Oryzias latipes: one gene and its partners. The protein of the gene in region 1 purifies or fractionates together with the protein of each later gene. This does not show direct contact. Links are inferred from orthologs where the notes say so. Each region holds a gene or a part of one and is shown in the gene's direction. Other genes may lie near its edges.

Region 1 (4,807 bases):
ACTGAATCACACTGGTAAGAAATGAGAATTAACTTATAATTATGGTTCAGTTTTACTTCAACAAATATAATTAAGCTGATGTTGCAGGTTTGGATGGTTAAGGACACCAACAAATTGAATGTGCAGGGGGGAAAAGAAATACATCACACAAGAGTCTGCATGAAAGTTCAAACCTTTGCAAAGGGGATTTTGAGTGGCTTTATATTCTGTAACTGTGGTGTCAACAAACAAACAAACAAACAAACAAACAAACAAACAAACAAACAAGTTGTCTGTGACAAAGAAAACATTGTCAAAATGACTATAAAATTCTGCTTTTGACAGACACTTCTTTCCTGGGCACTTGTTTATAAACACCCCTCACTTATAATTTATTTATTTGGACTAAGAAATACATCATTTACTAAAACAAATATATATTTTTTGTCATAATAATTTCAACAATAATATGGGTCAGTTCCTTGACAGAAAAGGACATTTGTTTAGAACTGAGGAGTTTAATCTAACATATAGTAATACATATTTTTATGGACTCGAAGTCTAAATGTCAACACCATAAAATAAAGAAGATGAAAAGAGAAAATCAGTTACACCCCTGTTGGAAAATCTTGTTTCAAATTTACTCAGGAGAATAACAAAGTCATATGTGCCTTGTTTCAACGAGATGTTATTTCAGAACATTTTGTTGTCTTTTAGTGAAATACTTTTGTCTCTGACTTGCTATGGAAAGAACTTTCATTGCATCAGAAATAGTTGATTAATGACAAGATGAGCGATATCTCCTCTCAATTTCTGCACAGAATAATACTAGTCAAGATATTTAACATTGTAAAATATATTAAAGTTTGTTAACATTCTGTGAAAGAAAACCCAAAAACTCAGTCACCTACTTTGGAATTGTAATATTTATTAAAAATCTTTTGATTAGACTGTACATATTTAAAAAATTGCAACAATAACTCAAAATGCGATGCTCCAGTGCTGTGACTATATGTAAGGTCTGCATGGATTTGTATTATAACTTTTTCATTCATCCACACTTGTGTCGTGTATGTTTACAAAAAAAGTTGGCAAGAAAAAAAAAACAACAACGATATATATATATATATATATATATATATATATATATATATCGTTTTAAGATCTGAATTTACTAAATATTAAATTTTTCCAAAATACAAAGAAATCCATTTTAAAATAATGTATGCAGTCTATCCATACAAGGAACTACTATACATATACGTTTTGGTTTTCCAGAAAATAACTGTTCTTTCTGTGACATAAATATAGAAACACTTGATCATCTGTTTTTTTGAATGTATATATGTTAACAGTTTTTGGGAGAATTTCTTTTCTTGTTGCTCCTCAAAGTTTCCCTTTCCTATTTATATTCAATTACAAAAGCAGATCATATTATTTGGAGTAGTTTCTGTTGATAATATATTTGATTTGACATTCAATACTTTATTAATATCTGGGAAATTTTTCATTGATGAGAGCAGATTTTCAAAAACAAAACCATTATTCAATACATTTCATATTGAGATCAGTTTATATTAAAAATCTCTGATATTAATAAAAAGCAAAAATGCAATAAAATGTCTATTTTCATTGAAGATCACGCGTTGTATGAAAATCCCTTGTATTGTAAACTACAATTATATTATTTTTATTTATTTATTTATTTCTATTTTCTTCTTTTTTCTTTTTTTCTGTTGTAGCTTTTGTGTGTGCGTTTGTTTAAAGTTAAAATAAAAAATTACGTAACATCCGCTTTCATCATCACTTCGCGACCTCACACCAGACCGCAAGTGAAGCCATTTTTGGCCGTTGGAATGTAAGATTAACCTTTTTACGTATTTTCGATCTAAATAGCTTTAATAGCGGAACTTGTTGATTTAAACATGTAAGTTCGGAGGCTTTTTTATTTTGCGCGAAAGTTCCTTATAAAGGAAGAAGTCGTTTAACCGCGACGCGGGTGTAGTTTAGTCCCTTGTTGTGCTCAAAAAAAACAACGAGGGAACGAGTCCAAATAGAAGGTTTTTTTTTTTCTGAATGAAAATATTAGTGTAAGGGAAAATATTATGTAATTTACGGTCCTAAACATTTGGAATTAAGCTTAAAATAATTACAATTTATTGTGCACATGTTAAATGTCGGTAAAAAAAAAAAAAACACCGAAACAATTTTGAATTAATTAGATAAAAATGAAATGAAAAAGTTATATATATTCAAGTAATTAACGAGTTAAATTTAATTAATGACCTTTTTGGTGCAAAAAATTTGTATCTAGCACATTTTAAGGCTGTTTCTCTCTATCCAATAAAAACATAAATCACAATCCTTTACATAAACCTAGACATAATCACTTTTTTAGGTTTCTAGGTCTCTAATTTATGTGCTTTCTCGCCACATCAGGGCACCATTACCGATAAAGCGAAAGGAAGATGAAAAGAAAAACAGGGAAAAAGAAAAAATAAAGGAAGGAGACAAGGAAAGGGGTCGCGACAAAGCAAAGAAACGCCGCAGTGCTTCATCAGGCAGCAGCAGCAGGTGAGCTATTTTTTCTTTCTTATATTTAAAAATATAATATAGCATCCTGTCCTGGATGTTCATTCCCAACTAAATCATTGTTTGTTTTTGACCTTCCACATCTAGATCTAGCTCATCCTCCAGCAGCAGCTCTGGTTCTAGCTCTGGTTCTTCAAGTGGTTCCAGCTCCTCTTCCAGTCGCTCCGGATCCTCTAGCTCTCGGTCTTCCTCCTCCTCCAGCTCTTCGGCCTCTCCAAGTCCCAGCCGCAGACGCCATGACAACCGACGCCGTTCACGATCTCCGTCAGTCCATTTTCTCAGACATGAGACAAATATTTATATTGTATCTCAAAAATATTGACAATATTTATTCTGTAATTTTTTATCCTGCAGTTCTAAAACACAGAAGAGAGGAGAAGAAAGAGAACGAAGAAAAAGAAGTCCCACCCCTAAACCCACAAAGGTTCACTTGGGAAGGCTGACCAGGAATGTAACCAAGGCAAGCTAAAAAAACAAACAAAAGCTAAATCTTTGATTTTTAAAAAAAAAATTCTAATTCAATAAAAGCAGATCTTATTTTTCATGATAACTAGTTAGAATGAAATATTCTTTATGTTTATTGTCTGTCAAGATGTGCGCCTAAAACTGCAAGAATTAAATAAAAAGCTAAATATTTTGTTTTTAGTTTTTTTTAATGGAACAATCCTTCACAAAATAATGGTTAAAAACTAAATGTATGTTTCAATTTACTAGGAACACATCCAGGAGATTTTCTCTACATATGGAAAAATTAAAGCGGTTGACATGCCGGTGGAAAGGCTCTTCCCAAACCTGACCAAAGGCTTTGCTTACGTGGAGTTTGAGACCCCTGAAGAAGCCCAGAAAGCTCTTAAACACATGGATGGAGGTAGGAAAGAATCATTTAAGGGGCTGGAGAAATCATATTGACGAACATAAACTTGGTCAGGTAAAAACAAACCTTCCTGATGACTTTTTTAGGTCAGATTGACGGGCAGGAAATCACTGCAGCTGCTGTGCTGACTCAGCTGATCCGTGGTCCTCCACGTAGACTGTCTCCTCCTCGAAGAATGCCGCCACCTCCACCGATGTGGCGCCGCAGCCCACCACGCATGAGAAGAAGGTTATTTAAAAGCTTTCACTTGTACCTTTTTAATATTTTTAACGTTTTATTATGCGGTCCATTGAAACGGAATCTTCTCCCACCTACTGATGCTCGTCCTTTTTTTGTGCCTGTTTAGATCACGCTCCCCAAGGAGGCGCTCGCCACCACGTCGCCGCTCTCGCTCTAGGTCTCCTGGCCGCAGGCGCCATCGCTCTCGTTCAAGCTCAAATTCCTCCAGATAGAAAGTTGTCTTTACTCTAAATACTCGCCGCAGATCAGCTGCAGTTTTCGCATTTCCTGGCTCCTCGGACACAAAGGATCTATATAAATTGCAGTAAATTTAGCTGAGTTCGTAGTGACAAGGAGACGAGAAAAATTCTTTCTTTTTTTTTAAATTTTGTGCTGAAAATTGACTGTAGTTTTTATGTTATGTCTGATGACATCTAACAAGATTTTGTGATTCCTTCATTCGAGTTGATTTTTTTTTTTGAAGAATTTTGAGAATAAAACCTATGAAACATCTTGATTCTGATTTCTGTCATCTTGTGATCCGGCTCAACTATTATTCTGATTTCTAGTCACAAAAATACTTTTAACCCTTATGTGGTGTTCGGGTCTGTGGGACCCGTTTTCATTTTTTATCAAAAGAAAAATGATACAATTAATTAATTTTTCAAACTCAGACTCACTGGCCTTGGCTCATTTTCTGTGAAGAACAGATATCAGAATACATTTTTAATGACCACACACCGTATACCCCCCCCAACACATTTCTATTACATATAAGATGTTCGGGTCCACTGGACCCAGGGCTAATAGAAGTGTGGAAATTGATGTTTTTATGTACCTACACTCTGTCCTCCACCTGTCTGGGCCTGCTGTGTGTGTGTGTGTGTGGGTGTGTGTGTGTGTGTGTGACCAGTGAGAAAGAGAGAGAGAGAGTGGCAGAGAGAGAAAGATTCACTGTAAATGTGAGTTCTGTTTCTGCACCTGCGGTTCCCGCACAAGGTTGCAACATTGTTAGAATAATTCAAGCATCAACTCTGTTTGCTCTCGTTCTCCCGCACATTTGATCATTTGACTTTCTTGCGGGAATCTTTAATATCTCACATAGCAGATAAAGATCTGCTACAAATTGGAGGCGGGACACTA
Region 2 (4,574 bases), on another chromosome or scaffold:
TTAACTGTTTTAGGTTTTTATTATTATTATTTGTTTATATGCATGACAGTTGTTAAGATTTTTTTTTTTTTAATCATTCCTCCTCCTGATAAAAAAATAGATGATGGTAAAAACTATTTCACCCAGAAAGCTGAAGTTCTGACTGTAGCAATGAAAATAATATTACAATTAATTAAGTAATGATTAATCTAATAAATATGTAAACAGTCGTGTAAATCACAAATATTGTATCAATCACAAATATAAACTTCTGTGAAACTCTTGAAGTTTGCAGACAACACTACAGTCAAATGCCTTACATGTGCAGTCATGCTCTTATTAGTAATAAAGATGATTCTGATTCTAAAACCTTGACATCAATATTAACACAGAATGTACTAATAATAATTATGATAGAAATTGCAACTCTAATATTAATAACAAGTATAGTCACAATTTTAATAATAGAAATGCTATCCCTTGCAGTATAATAAAGTATTTTAAATCATATTTTTGTTGTGTGAATGTTGACACTAATGTTTAAAACAAATGTATACATTTCTCATTGTTCTCATTATATCAGTGATGACACTAAATATAATACCAAGATAACAACAATTTTCAATTCTTGAAAATATATGGCATGGAAATTTTAACAATGCTATTAATAACAAATATATCATTAATTATATTGCATTAAATTGTCCACACTAAAGTATAAAAAATCATGATTATTTATTAATATCATGATTGAGTAAGTAAGTAAATTTTATTTGCATAGCACCTTTCACAGACAAAGATCACAGGTTAAAATATATATATATATATATATATATATATATATATATATATATACATATAAAAACATAAAAGATAAAAAGCACAAACCACGTAAAACAATCATCTCAAGCCCAATGAAAGCAGTTTCAGTTAAAATGCTTTGCAAAAATAAAAAGTTTTCATGATGATAAATGTAAATTATTTCATAAGGGATAAATTAGAAATCATGATTATTAAAACATAAATTATCGTTTAATATTATGCATTTTTACCAGTAACACATGTGATATTAATCATGAATATTATAATAAAACTCTGCACTAAAAATTAATAACAAAAATTTCATTTTCAAATAAAAACTCATTATTAATCTTATTATTATATTTGACTAATTTTATATTAATAAATGCAAATTTTCTTCATCTCCTATTTTTTCCCTGTGTTATTAATCAAACAAATTTAAATGTATCTCAGTAACATCTCCAAAAGTCTTAATCAGAAAGCTGCATGTTTGTATGAAAGTTGTTGAAATCTGAATGTTTTTTTTTATCTAAAACTCCTGTAATATGTATGCTACCCTGGCATATCTGAAGTTTACTTAGCAAAATTGTGTTTTGTATTAAACTTACTTACGTTTTGTACAATAAAGTTTAAAAAAAAATCTTTACGGAAGTTACGTACTCAGACTCTTTAGTGATTCTCCGTGCGCATGCGCTGTTCGTACTCAGTCAAACAGACATCATGGCGGACGTGTTGGACCTTCATGAGGCGGGAGGAGAAGACTTTCCTATGGATGAGGATGGTGACGGTATTGCGTTGTTTTACACAATTAGAGGCGGACGCACCGCAGTCCTGCCAGCCAAATAATGAAATTCAAATAGCCGCACGTGCGGTCAGAATCACGCTCAGCCCAGACTGCGTGTTTGTTAGCGGGCCGCAGCCGTGTTAGCATCCAGCTAACTCAACGAAAGGCGGTCATTCATCCACTTAGCGAGCCTCTCAGCGGGGGTGCAGCCGTCTGTGTTTGCGAGGGCCGCTTTTAAAATGTTAATTATTTAAACGGACTGTATTTTTCTCTGCACGTTAAAGCTGTTTTGTTTTCTATTAAGCTAGCGCTAGCATCCATGTTAGCCAACGGCTACATGCTGTTAGTGTTGCGCAGATGAGAGAAAAAACGTCGATTTAAAAATTGCACATTGTTCCTAAAAAAACAACCCAAAAACACATATAGTTACTCCATTTGAGAACTTCATAAACTAAACTCTTGTGAATTAAAGGAAACTGAAAACGGCGTCCTTAGGCTTTTATTCGTCTGTTTGCAGAAAGCATCCACAAGTTAAAGGAGAAAGCCAAGAAGAGGAAAGGACGAGGTTTTGGTGCAGGTGAGCTTTCAAAGCATTTTTCCCTTTATTTTTCTTGACTTCTTAGGGTTTGGTTTTGATTCTAAGTTTTTGATTCCAGATGATGGGGCCCGGTCCAGAGCCAAAGAGGACTATGATACTGTGGAACAGGACGGAGATGAGCCTGGGCCTCAGAGATGTAGGTGTTACAAGTGACCTTCATGTTCAGATAGAAGCAAATTAACAAGCTGTAGTCACACTTAGATTGTAAAAAATCTAAGATCTTTGTGTGTATTTTTTTTTATTTTATTTATTTAATTTGATTATAGAATAAATGGTCAATGTTGTGCTTTTCTACCTTTACTAAGCCACTAAGGGCTTGAAAGTCCCAGTCCCATGCACAGTCACAGCCTGTAACCCCCACGAGCGTTGTGGGGTTTAAGTGTCTTGCCCAAAAGACACGTCCACACATGGGCAGGCAAGGCAGGAACTGAACTTTTGATTGAAGGTCTACCTCTGCATCACAGCTGCAGATAACTAATTTAATTTAACCTAAAGTTCATTGTTTAAAAGTTATAAATCAGTTTCACGGCTGCGTTTTAATTTTGACCTATGCAAAAACTAAAAAACTGCTCTGAAACAATGCAGACTTTTACTTTTGAAACTGCGTGAATGCCAGCAGGTCAGGTAAACTCATCTGCTTGTCTTGGTGTGGAGACTGGGGGGTTTGGGTGTCTGATGCCCTGTTCCCTCCCCTCTCTGCAGCTGTAGAAGGCTGGATCCTGTTTGTGACGGGCGTGCACGAGGAGGCCACAGAGGAAGACATCCACGATAAGTTCTCAGAGTTTGGGGAAATCAAGAACCTCCATCTTAATCTGGATCGCAGAACTGGCTATCTGAAGGTGAGTTTAAACCATTTCCTTTTTCTTTGAACACATTTTGTATTTTAAAGACACAACATTTGGATGTCAAATGTTGCTTATGTTCCAATGAACATCTAAGCGGAAGAAGTGAATATTTGATCAACATTAAAAACAAGCATTTAGGCAGTAATTATCAGAGGGAAGGATGGAAGTCATCATATTAATGATGTGGAAGATTTCATTCAGTAGGATTTAATCATATATTTTATAATACTTGTAGAAAAGAAAGTTGGTTGCTAAAATAAGGCTGTTGTGTTCTCAGAACAGTTGCGTGAAGGGGTTAAGAGAGAGCCTGGACTGCCCTTTTGTAGCAGCACTTTAGTTTCTGTGAAGTGAAGCTGATATTTAAGAACAGTCGTATGAAAAACAAACTATTTCGGCTTTATTATTACTGAGGGATTTTCTTTCCGTCTTATTGGTGTTTGGCCGCCACTAAAGGCTAAAATGCTCAGTGTTGAGTCTTTGACTTTTCCACCAAAATAAAAGCTTTGGCATAATTCTGGTCTAACTGCACGACACAAAAATGGATGAGAAAAGCATTTGGGGGGCCGTGAGAAGAAGAGGGTTGACCTTTCTGCAGTTTGTTACTTCACGGTCTGCTCAGTGAAGGAGGAAACCGTCTGACATCTGCACTTTGTGATCAGAACTGTATTATAATAATTGTCAGATTTCAAAGGGTTGTTTTTCAGTTTTAAAACGAGTCTGAGGATACTTAAAGCCTGACTGTCACTGTATTTTCACTCAAAAAAAATATGTTTTTCTCTTTTGGTGCAGTGTTTTTCAACCAGTTTATAACTGGAAAAAAATTCCATTTCACCTAATTGGGCTAAAAAAATGTTTTCCGTTAGCAGGATATCAGTTCTGTGTTCATCCGAACAGACCCGGCTTTTCCACTGGAGTATTTAGAAATGTCTGCTTTGGTTTTATTGGTTTAGTTTAGTTTGTCATTTGCATTGTTTACCTAACATACAGTATAAACAATTAATTAAAAAAATAGGCAGAAGCATATGAAGCTTATTATATGCCTGTCCTTCAATGTCCAAGTTAATCAGTTTAACAAACCAAAAAGTAGGAAACAGTCCTTAATAAATGGAGACAAGTAAACAAAGTCCTTCTACATCTGTGTTTTGTAACCTTTAATATGTTTTAGACTTTTTTTCTTTTAACTGAGAATTACGTCATTTTAATTCATCGCTCAATTCCTTCCATTATTTCACGTCAAGAACTGAAACACATCTTGTCTTGACATTAGATCGAACATTAAACCTGTTCAAAATGAGAAAGACCCCTTAAATTATACTGACCAACTCTTCAATAGTCTGTCTTTTTTGGAACTAAATTACGTTTAACTCTATAAACAATTTCTAATACTTTACTGTAAACAATATCCTTTATTTCTAAACGTTTAGTTAAACTAAATTAGGCCTGCACACTAAATCGCAAATTTGTCGTTAACCCAATATCATTCAGTCATCTTCTATACCCTTTTTTGTCCCTGTCGGGGTCACGGGGCTGCTGGAGCCTATCCCGGCCACTTGTGGGTAAAGGCAGG
Region 3 (4,630 bases), on another chromosome or scaffold:
CACACACACCAACACACACACACACACACACACACACATTAACACACCTACACACCCTAATATACCCAAACACACACTAACACCTGAACGCACACCAAAATAGACAACCACCGACACCAACATACACACAAACACTTACACACACACCACCTCACACCCACTTAAAAACAGACACACACTTGAACACACTCACGAAACCTCAAACACACACACAGAAGCAAATACACACTCAAGTTCACGCACAGAAACACACAAACTCACGCACACTCAGGGATACAGTCAAACCTATCAACAAACTTGCATAACCTCGCACAAAAAAACAAACGCATGCGCTCAAATACTCACACACTACACTCACACACAAAGACACAAACACACACATGGGGTTGAATCACAAACTTAGTTTACTGTATTTGTGTCATTCCTGTAGCTGCTGGCAGAACAGAGTCTGAAAACATATTAAAGCACTGATTGTGTAACACTCATCAAAGACAAAAATACAAAATAAATTACTTTAAAAATAGGTTTTAGTGTTTGTGTTGAATTATTCCTCATAATTCTAGCTGCTGAAAACCGTAGAATGTCAATAAAATGACATTTCTAGAATACAGAAGAAAGTGGATTTGAGCAACAACTGTTTCGCTGCTGAGCTCATGTTAGACTGACGCAGCTGCAAACAGTAACGGCGATGGACGTTCACATCTTGCTCCAGGACACAGGTTCGAAATCAATTTCCAAAGGCCAAAGTGTGGATTTTGGCGCCACCGAGCGGCGGAAAATATGAACTGCTGAGATTTTTTTTCTTATCTGCACCATCGTATTTTTCCCTGGATCTCTTCTGTAAGGCAAACCAGAGTTCGCTCTCATTTCTAACGTCTTGGTGGTGTGTAGTGGGCAGCACAATCACTACAATGAAAGGTTCAAATCCCAGCTGGATTTTTTTTCTGTGTAGTTTCCTGTACTTGAGGGTTTTTTCCGACCTTTTTAGTCCAAAAAACATGGTCAGAGTTTTTGTTGTTGTTGGTTTAGTACTGCAGCATTTGCCAAGGTCCAGCTTTTTGTTATCCATCTGACCGACAAATTTGTCAATGACAATAAAGGCGGACCAGAGTAGCTACCTTGTGGAACTCCAAACTAAGCCATTTTTTTTTCAATTTCTCCTGTATGCTCCCCCAGTGAGCCAGCTTGAGTTATCATTCTATCCAGACATTTATTTAAAAAAAATGGCTAATTTAATTACGGAGCTTTTTTCTAGTATTTCTAGTATTTAAAGATCCTAAATTGCTTTTTCAGTTATAATTTTGGAAAATCTTTTATTTCTACATGAATTATCCTTTTATTTCACATACTCTCAGTTTGAATTAGAATGAAGTCTCTATTAAAGGACATTGACATAACTATGTTTGTATTTTTTGTTAAATGAAAAATTAAATAAAACAAATCCAACAGAATTAAGGCAAATTTGACGATTTTAAAGTGTTTGATGCAGGAGCTGCTGCCTGTAAGACCTCACTCAGGGTATTAAGAAAAAAACAACCCGAGCTGAACCCAGATGTCCCATAATCCTTTTCGGAAAGAATAGCTCCGTTAGCCTCGAACCACGGGAGCTCCCGCAGTGAACCGGTGTCTAATTTAGCCTGCTAATTCTCCCGGAATCGGTCCTTTTGCTGCATTTAATGGGTTTTTTACGAGGATAATCAGCCGTGTTAGCCGTGTCCTCTTTTTAACGGAATACTTGACTGAAGGTGGGTGAGCGCGTTCTTCATGACCGCCGATGCTAACGTCTAGCAGCAAGGCCGGACTTAGCCGTCTGAGGCTAGCAGTTTACAAGCTAGCTAGTCTTTTAATCTCATCGATTTGTCAGTTTATTCTGTCAGTTTGAGCTGGTCGCTGTGACGGTGACCAGTGGAAGAAGCTCCACTCCTTCCCGCTAACCTCCTCTTGTCTCGGTCTTGCAGGCGGTCTCCTCCAGGAATGTCTTACCCGCCTCCGATGAACCGGCCGCAGGTCGGCCTCCCCCAGCTTCCCCCAGGGATCCCCCCGCCGCAGTACGGAGGCTTCGCCCCTCCAGTTCCACCAGGTACCGAGAACCGCCGCACACCTGTGACCCCCCCCCCCCCCCCAGCTTGTGTTGGATCTGGAGTCAAGCATCGCGTTGGGAAGCACTGCAGTTCACCACGTGATTTGACGGGGAGATGAATGAAATTCGATAATTGGTAGATTTAGATGAACTTGAATAAAAATCCACACCGTTTTTTGTGGTGGTAGCCGTCATAAATGCTTTATTCATGCTGGGATTTCAGTTTTGACAGGAGCCTCAGATCTGTAGACATGCGCATTTGCCCCCCTGCCTGTAGGCATCCATATTATAAGCAATGTTGTTCACCTGATTCCAGGTGAAAAAATCAGGTAAGAATGGAGGCTAATTTGGGAAAAAGGAAATCCATTCAAATCCATTGATGTTGAAATTCCTCACGGGAGGCTAAACTACTAAACATTGAAGTAGAAGCTCACCGTTAACCTTTAGAGACCCCCTCCCATCAAACTGGTGTTTTTAACATGTTGTAGCATTTTTCTGACATATTTAAAGAAACTTAAACTCATGATTGCATTTCTGAGTATTTCTCTATTCAAATTATTGTGAATTAGGAACAGATTAAAAAATGCTCTTTGCAAAGGTGATGTAGAAAATACGCTGGGCGGAGCCACAAGCTCCATATTTACAGGTGTAGGTTGATATTGCTCGCCATTTTTGTTGCACCGCCCGTGTTAGCATGGGGTTGTGAGGCGCTGTAAGCTAGCAGGAGAGCTTGTAAACAGATGGGTGGCGGGAAGTGTGTGGGGGGTGAATTTCTATTGAACTCCTGTCGCTCTGCAGAAACTATGTCCTAGCAATGACACAACTAAAAGATTTCTTTTATTTTGAAGTTGAAGACTCTTCTTCGGTTTCCTCTCTGGATCTTTTCCTCCGTTTGTTTTTTATTAACTTTGCTGTCTTCGGGCATTAAATTTAGGATTGGAGGCTTTAAGAAAGTACCAAATGTATTTGACACGTGACCGAGGAGAACGTCTTGATATGCAGTAAAGCATAAAGGGATGTGGTGCACAGAATCCTATAGTTTTCCAAAATAAAACTTCCTTCAGAATGAATAAATCCTCCAAACAGAAATAAATTAATAGTAATAACTGTAATAACTTTCTGTAAGTTTTTTGGTTTTGTTTTCTGTGTCTGTTGTCCCGTACCAAGTGACCCACAGGTTTAGAAGCTGCTGGGTTTTTTAAATTCTTTCCATTTTTATTTGTATTTTCTGAACCAGTAGAAGTGTAATCATTCATTTTAATGCTGCATTTCATATCACAATTTGTGGCTGACGATATGTTTATATTCAATATTTGTTCATTCTGAACGCTCCGGTTCACTGAGCTAAAGTAGATCCAGATCCTCTTCATCCAAACTTCCAGACAGAAATTCCTGCTACTGAACAGTTTTCCAGATTCTTGGATTTCTTCCAGATCATCAAGTGGAAATGAAATCTGTGTCCAAACAAACAAGTAAACTAGAATGAATGTCAAATCCATTCACATGTTAGTTTCCTAAATTTCACCACTGTTGTTTTTCCACATCCAAAGAATCCAAAGGGAACATTCTTAGAACATTCTAGCACATTAGACATGTTGTTAATGACAACATGTCATTAACATTCCGTGTTAATGACATCACAAATGTGTTGTCCGCTGTGATTGGTCGATTAAACCTTCTAGTAAAATAAACCGGCTGTACCTCAATCCAAATAGTATTTGATCTCATTTTGAAACCATTTTATAACAGTGTGGGCCAATTCCATTAACTCTGTCTGGTTGGAATCATAAATCAATTCACGGATTCATCGTTAAAGTCCAGTTGTGTTTGAGGCTCACCGTGGATCACTGTCTTCATGAGGACTGGATTCCCATAGTTTGAGGGGAAACAGGTTTCTGTCTGCCTCTGTCTCCTCTGAAGGGCCTCTTTGTCTTAGATGTGTGAGCGTCCGCTCCACCCTGTTGGCTTTACACTCACAGCTTGGAACTGAGGGAACTTTCTGGGTGAAACAGTCCTAGAAGTTAGGATTCAGTGTGGATGAAAGCAAAATCTACACCAACCTTTTCCCTCTGCTGTTTCCAGGTACTCCCATGATCCCAGTTCACATGGGCGTAGTGGCCCCCGCGCCCACAGTGAGTCTGAAACCAGAGTTTTTACCACATTAACCCGCAGCTCCTCCGTGTGACCCGCCGTCACCGCCGTCTTTATGGCATCCACAGTTGATGCGTTCGTCTCTAAACCTTGCATTGCTGTCGCAGGTTCTGGTTCCAACTGCGGTCACCATTACCCAGAAGCCCATAGCTGCAAAGAAGGAGCACGGCATGGGGCGGGCCAGGGATGCGGACGACGGCGCGGGCCCCACCACCACCGTGTTTGTGGGGAACATCTCAGAAAAGGCCTCCGACATGTTGGTCAGGCAGCTGCTGGCTGTGAGTTTGCACCCATTCAGATGCTTTTACTTTGAAAAACCTGTTTGTGGAGGCTGTGAACTGCTGAAGTCTCACCACATTCTGTGGCATCGTTCTCAGAGTAAATGTTTAAAGTTTGTAG
Region 4 (4,877 bases), on another chromosome or scaffold:
TCAACATGAAATATGGGTTATTGGATCAAAAAAAAAGGTTAAAAACTGAAAAGGAAAGTTTTAGATCTTTAGCCAAAACTGTAAAGGTGCAGCTTTTGCAGTAAGTGTTTGCACAACAAATAAGCCATAACATCTCCCAAGTCCACACATAAACAGCGACGGTTTACCAAACACGAATTTACAGCATGAAAGCAGCACAAACTTTACTCAGTGCATCCGAGTTTTATCATAGGCGATCAGTGAATCACCTTATTTTCTATGTTGAATCCACAAAAAACTCAGATTATTGACTCACCTTTTAATAAAAAAAAGGTCCAGTTCATACTCTCTGTAGAGGAGAGAATTAACAAAGCAGCAGAGCTTTTTTTTATATATATATGGTGAATTGAGACATTCTTTTACCAAAAAATCTCTGCCATTTACTTCAATCCTATACTATAGGGCCTATTGTCTAAACACCCAGAAGTGCGCTGTTAACTCTTGGTTGTCACCAGAGGTGTGCCAGGTGTGTCAGTCACTCCCAATCAACAGGGATTCATTGTTTCCTGTTCTTGACTGCATTTAAAGGGCTTATACCATGAAAATCAATTTTTTGAGGTTTTAAGTGTATTATAATGTCCATTCCTTACAAAAAGAAACCCCAAAGTGACATTTGATCAGTTCAGGCATTTCTGTATGGAAGCATATCTGTCTCATAATTCAAAATTAAAAGTCAAGTTCAGCAGATTGATTTTTCATTTTATTTTTGATTCAACGAACACAGCTCTATTGTGAAAATGAAAAAGCATTTTGGGTATTGACTTTCATTTTGAATTATGAGACAGATAGGCTTCCATATTTTTTATCATGTTTACTCCTGCTAGCAGACACATCGCAGCTCGCCAACATCACCAACTTGAAGTCATTTCCTCAACTTGAGCTGCCAATTAAAATCCTCATATTTTCAGGTTTGTCACAATCCAAATGGTCTCGGTCAAATGGTAACGTTTCAGAGTTTATTCCTGTCCAGTTGTGACACTTCGTCACCTTTTGCACTCACGGCACAACCCTCATGTTCCGGAGACCGGGCATCGGTGAGAGTGCTGTAGGTCAGCTCTGCAAACAGACTGAGGTTCTCTGGCATGGAATAAAGGCCCTACAAGTATCTGTTTGTAACCATCAAAACCCCATCAAATCTATTCTATGCAAGCGGAACAGAAGCATTGAAAAAGATGTACAGAGAGAGAATAAAACTAAAACAGTGATAAACAGTAAATTCCTCTTTGTTTTCATCTGTTTATGCTGGCTAGCAGGGTTCTTTTTCAAAATCACATCTCCACCATTATTAAATGGACGTCTGAATCAAGCAACATGTAATTTTAGTTGAAAAACTTTTTTTTTAAATCGAATTCTGTCGCTCACATTAATATTTTGTTGTTGTCAGATATTTTTTATAATGACTCACTTTACATTTGGTTATTTAGTTGAAATTTGTATTCAGGGCAACTAACAGGTTTTTACATTAGGTTAGTTGTTGTGTATCTAACTTCATGTAAAGCACTTTGAAATGCTACTGTACGCAAAAGATGTTCTACACAGACTGGACATGTTTAACCTGTACAAAATAAAAGCATAATATATAAAATGTATGAATACACTTGACAAAGGTTTCTTGTTTTTGTCATCTGATTACTTAATCCAGATTACATTTAATCTGTGCTGCCCTGCTCTGTTGAACGTGCCACTCTGTGAAAAATCCATGCAGTTCTCACAACAACCCGTAGGGGGCGCTGTTTACCGTGAAATGCGGTGCAGGCGCCATCTTGAGGGAGACCCGATCGCAGCGTTCGGCTGGCGGCGGCGCCCGACGGCAGTCTCCGGGCACACCATGAGGGGATTACTCGCCTGCGTTTAAAACGGAACAGTTACGTTTTTCCTTTTAGTTTTTCTTTTCTTTTTTTAAAAAAATTCTCTGTCCAGAGGAAGCGAGGCACCGCACGGTGGCAGCTCTGCGCCACACACAGGCCGCGATTTCATCAGAAAGTCGCGCGGCTGCGCTGTAGCCCGATGGCCGGTTAGCCGCTCTCTGGACTCCACCGCGGCCTGCTCGGGCGGAGGAAGGGTGGTGACGGAGCAAAATGCTCCACCGTTGACTCCCATCAACGCAGCCAGCCCACAGACGCACCGAGAGTCGGTCCACGATGCACTTAGCGAGCTTTCCACGCTCGTAACGTCTCCGTTTTACACATTTAGATAGTTTTTTCCTTGTTTCCGTTGTTTTTATTTTTTATTTTGAAATTGTTTTTGAGAGCGCCGTCTGAACGCAGACATGTCAGCCAACTGCACCAGCGCAGCGGCCGCCAGCGCCAGCAAAACCAAGACGAAAAAGAAGCATTTTATAGGGCAGAAAGTGAAGTTATTCCGCGCGAGCGAGCCCATCCTCAGCGTTTTGATGTGGGGAGTCAACCACACGGTGAGTCGGAGCATCCTCCCGTTGTTTTGATTTTCTAGCTTTCTTGCTAACCTGTTAGCCAGCTGCCCTCATCTGTCAAAGCGGCTTTTCTGTCATCAATTGATCCTTGCGGGTCGTGATTGCTTCTGTTTGTCGTGGTTAGCTAGCAGCTGTTATGTGAAGCTGCTGTTATCTTATTTATTTATTTATTATTTGGGGGACAGATTCATGTTGGGATCTATAGATCCTCTCCGTAAATCAGATCAACTTCTATAACTGACTTTAATCGTTGGCAATTTAGGCTCGTGGCTGTGGTGGTGGAGGGGATTATCTGCTGTCATAGATTATGGATTGAGAGGTGTTTCGGTTGCCAAGCTGCCGTGATCTGCTGCTGCAGGCGTGAGGAGGGGCGTGTCAGGCAGCAGCAGCAGCTTTCCCCGGATTGTGACCGGGGGGGAGGCGGCGATCTCCAGCCGTTTGTCGCAGCCTTTCTTTATAAATAGAGCTGAAAATGTATCGCGTCTGGCCGAAGCTTCGTGCGGCTATGAAAAGGTTTCGGGTTGGGTGATGGAGTCTGCCGAACCTGCACGAGTCTGATTGATGCGCGGAAAGCTGGCGGCGAGCTGCGCGCGCGCGCCCGGATTACCAAGCCGACCTATTTGGCCAGAGCCCAGGAGCTCATGTTCAAGCGACCCCAGAGGTGAAATATGTTTCAATCTGAGACGCGGAATGATGGAAATGACCGCAGAGATGTTGAACGAAGACCTGGAGAAGCAGAATGACCAGATATGAAACCAAACTGTGACACAGATTCACACAACTGCTGCTTAAAACACGGATTTACAGCCAAACCCAACATTAAAACACTAAATCCCTGTGAATTACAGACAAATACGTTTAATAAAAAGAAAAAAACCGTTGGCAATCAATGCAACCACTGAAATGTCTTTACAATTTCTGGTAGAATCACTGGTAGACGACTAGATCCATGCACGCCTGTGTTTTCCTCGTCTGGCTCAAAAATGTACGGCTGGATAGCTCCAAGATAGCTCGCCTTTGCTGTTACACTGGTAATGTTATGTAGGGGGGACTGTAAGCTAGCAGGAGAGAGTGTAAACGGAGAGCTCTCAGTTAAATTTGATGGGAAGGGCGGCTGGGGTTGCTCCACACCACACAACGGTTCCACCCACAACTCAGAGGTGAATTTCTGATGAACTCCTGTCATTCTGCAGAAACTAATTTAATTTAAACACCATAATCCTAATTAAAAGACAACACTTTTACAAAAGATGATCGGAGTGAGACTTTTATTGATTGGTTTGACAGATTCAAGCAAGTTCTTCATAATACTTAAATTAGAAACAACAGTTTGATGCATTTTAATAGATTACAATAAATGAAACTAGACTAACATGCAGCTGTTTAGCAGTGCGTGATTCTTCAGGAGTTGCATCAGAACACAGATGGACTTGAGATGGAAGTACAGTAATTGTATGATTAGCTTCTGAAAAGACAATGCTCCAGTATGTGGAATAACGTTCAATAGAGATGCCACAATTCCCGGTTTCCCACCAAATTGTATGTCACACCACTAAACCGAATCACGAGGGGAGCTATGGTTCCATCCCTACTGCATAGCAGTATGTAGAAAGTGACAAACACGTGTGTAAGAAGGGTTTATTATTTATTGTTTTAATACATTACACCAGGCTTAGTAAAAGACAACTCAAAGGTTCTTATTCATTGTTAGTGTCTTATTAGCAAATTCTAAAGATTTATCCAACTTTTTAGTTGTTATGTAAAAGACAAAACTGCCGCCCAAAAATCGGGGATTGAAGCGCATGAAGCGCATTTTGGGGAAAGGGAACCGTTCAAGCAGACAGACAAAGTTATTAAATCAGATTTTCTGAAATTGAACACTTTAGCACAGCATGCCCTTGTGTTGAACTTGTGTCACTCCAATTGTCCCGATCAGACAGCGTTGTATGAGTTCCAACTGTGTAATCATCAAACCGGATCAGTTGGTCAGGATCCCTGTGATCCCATTGGATCAGTTAGTTTGAGAGCAAAGGCGTCTGCCAAAGTTGGTCTCGAGTCCTCCACTAAGGTCGGAGTTCAGGGCTTTTTTGTGTCCTGGTGTTCTCAACGTGGGTTCAGGTTTTCATGGATGTTTGTGGTTTGATCCGTCTTTGCTGTTGGGGAGCAGAGAAGAAGAGCATTTTGGTCGATGAAGCAGCTCCTCTTTGACCAGCTCTGTGGTGGAACCGGTCAGGGTCTGGCCGGATCCGTTCAGATGAATCCGGGGGAGCAGCTAACTGCAGATGTGTTTCTGGCTGCGGCCTCTCCAGGGTTGAGCGGTGAACTCTGGCAGTGGGCGTGTGCGTGCAGCTCCGGCCCGATGAGCTGATTCTGTGGGTGTGAGGCGGATTCGGCACATCAAACGGCC

Evidence for each region. Proteins that work in one complex are often made in the same cells at the same time.
Region 2: the proteins of rnps1 (region 1) and rbm8a purify together in Homo sapiens (co-immunoprecipitation; 4 studies listed by BioGRID and IntAct, with this or other methods). This does not show direct contact. The link is inferred for Oryzias latipes from reciprocal best matches to the Homo sapiens genes RNPS1 and RBM8A.
Region 3: the proteins of rnps1 (region 1) and RNA-binding protein 25 purify together in Homo sapiens (affinity purification with mass spectrometry; 3 studies listed by BioGRID and IntAct, with this or other methods). This does not show direct contact. The link is inferred for Oryzias latipes from reciprocal best matches to the Homo sapiens genes RNPS1 and RBM25.
Region 4: the proteins of rnps1 (region 1) and pip4k2b purify together in Homo sapiens (co-immunoprecipitation; 3 studies listed by BioGRID and IntAct, with this or other methods). This does not show direct contact. The link is inferred for Oryzias latipes from reciprocal best matches to the Homo sapiens genes RNPS1 and PIP4K2B.

The regions. Positions count from the first base shown.
Region 1 is NC_019866.2:11,024,245-11,029,051, reverse strand, and holds rnps1 (RNA-binding protein with serine-rich domain 1), read left to right. Parts: upstream 1-1,743; 5' UTR 1,744-1,835; coding exon 1,836-1,837; exon of another isoform or gene 1,838-1,904; coding exon of another isoform or gene 1,905-1,906; intron 1,907-2,418; coding exon 2,419-2,553; intron 2,554-2,658; coding exon 2,659-2,835; intron 2,836-2,925; coding exon 2,926-3,031; intron 3,032-3,285; coding exon 3,286-3,439; intron 3,440-3,531; coding exon 3,532-3,673; intron 3,674-3,791; coding exon 3,792-3,897; 3' UTR 3,898-4,181; downstream 4,182-4,807. UniProt on the Homo sapiens protein: Part of pre- and post-splicing multiprotein mRNP complexes. Auxiliary component of the splicing-dependent multiprotein exon junction complex (EJC) deposited at splice junction on mRNAs.
Region 2 is NC_019874.2:29,126,558-29,131,131, forward strand, and holds the start of rbm8a (RNA-binding protein 8A), read left to right. Parts: upstream 1-1,492; 5' UTR 1,493-1,500; coding exon 1,501-1,561; coding exon of another isoform or gene 1,562-1,567; intron 1,568-2,081; coding exon 2,082-2,141; intron 2,142-2,220; coding exon 2,221-2,298; intron 2,299-2,864; coding exon 2,865-3,001; intron 3,002-4,574.
Region 3 is NC_019880.2:1,888,470-1,893,099, forward strand, and holds the start of RNA-binding protein 25, read left to right. Parts: upstream 1-1,548; 5' UTR 1,549-1,745; intron 1,746-1,958; 5' UTR 1,959-1,974; coding exon 1,975-2,080; intron 2,081-4,162; coding exon 4,163-4,212; intron 4,213-4,338; coding exon 4,339-4,509; intron 4,510-4,630. UniProt on the Homo sapiens protein: RNA-binding protein that acts as a regulator of alternative pre-mRNA splicing. Involved in apoptotic cell death through the regulation of the apoptotic factor BCL2L1 isoform expression.
Region 4 is NC_019859.2:8,441,698-8,446,574, forward strand, and holds the start of pip4k2b (phosphatidylinositol 5-phosphate 4-kinase type-2 beta), read left to right. Parts: upstream 1-1,795; 5' UTR 1,796-2,308; coding exon 2,309-2,452; intron 2,453-4,877. UniProt on the Homo sapiens protein: Participates in the biosynthesis of phosphatidylinositol 4,5-bisphosphate. Preferentially utilizes GTP, rather than ATP, for PI(5)P phosphorylation and its activity reflects changes in direct proportion to the physiological GTP concentration.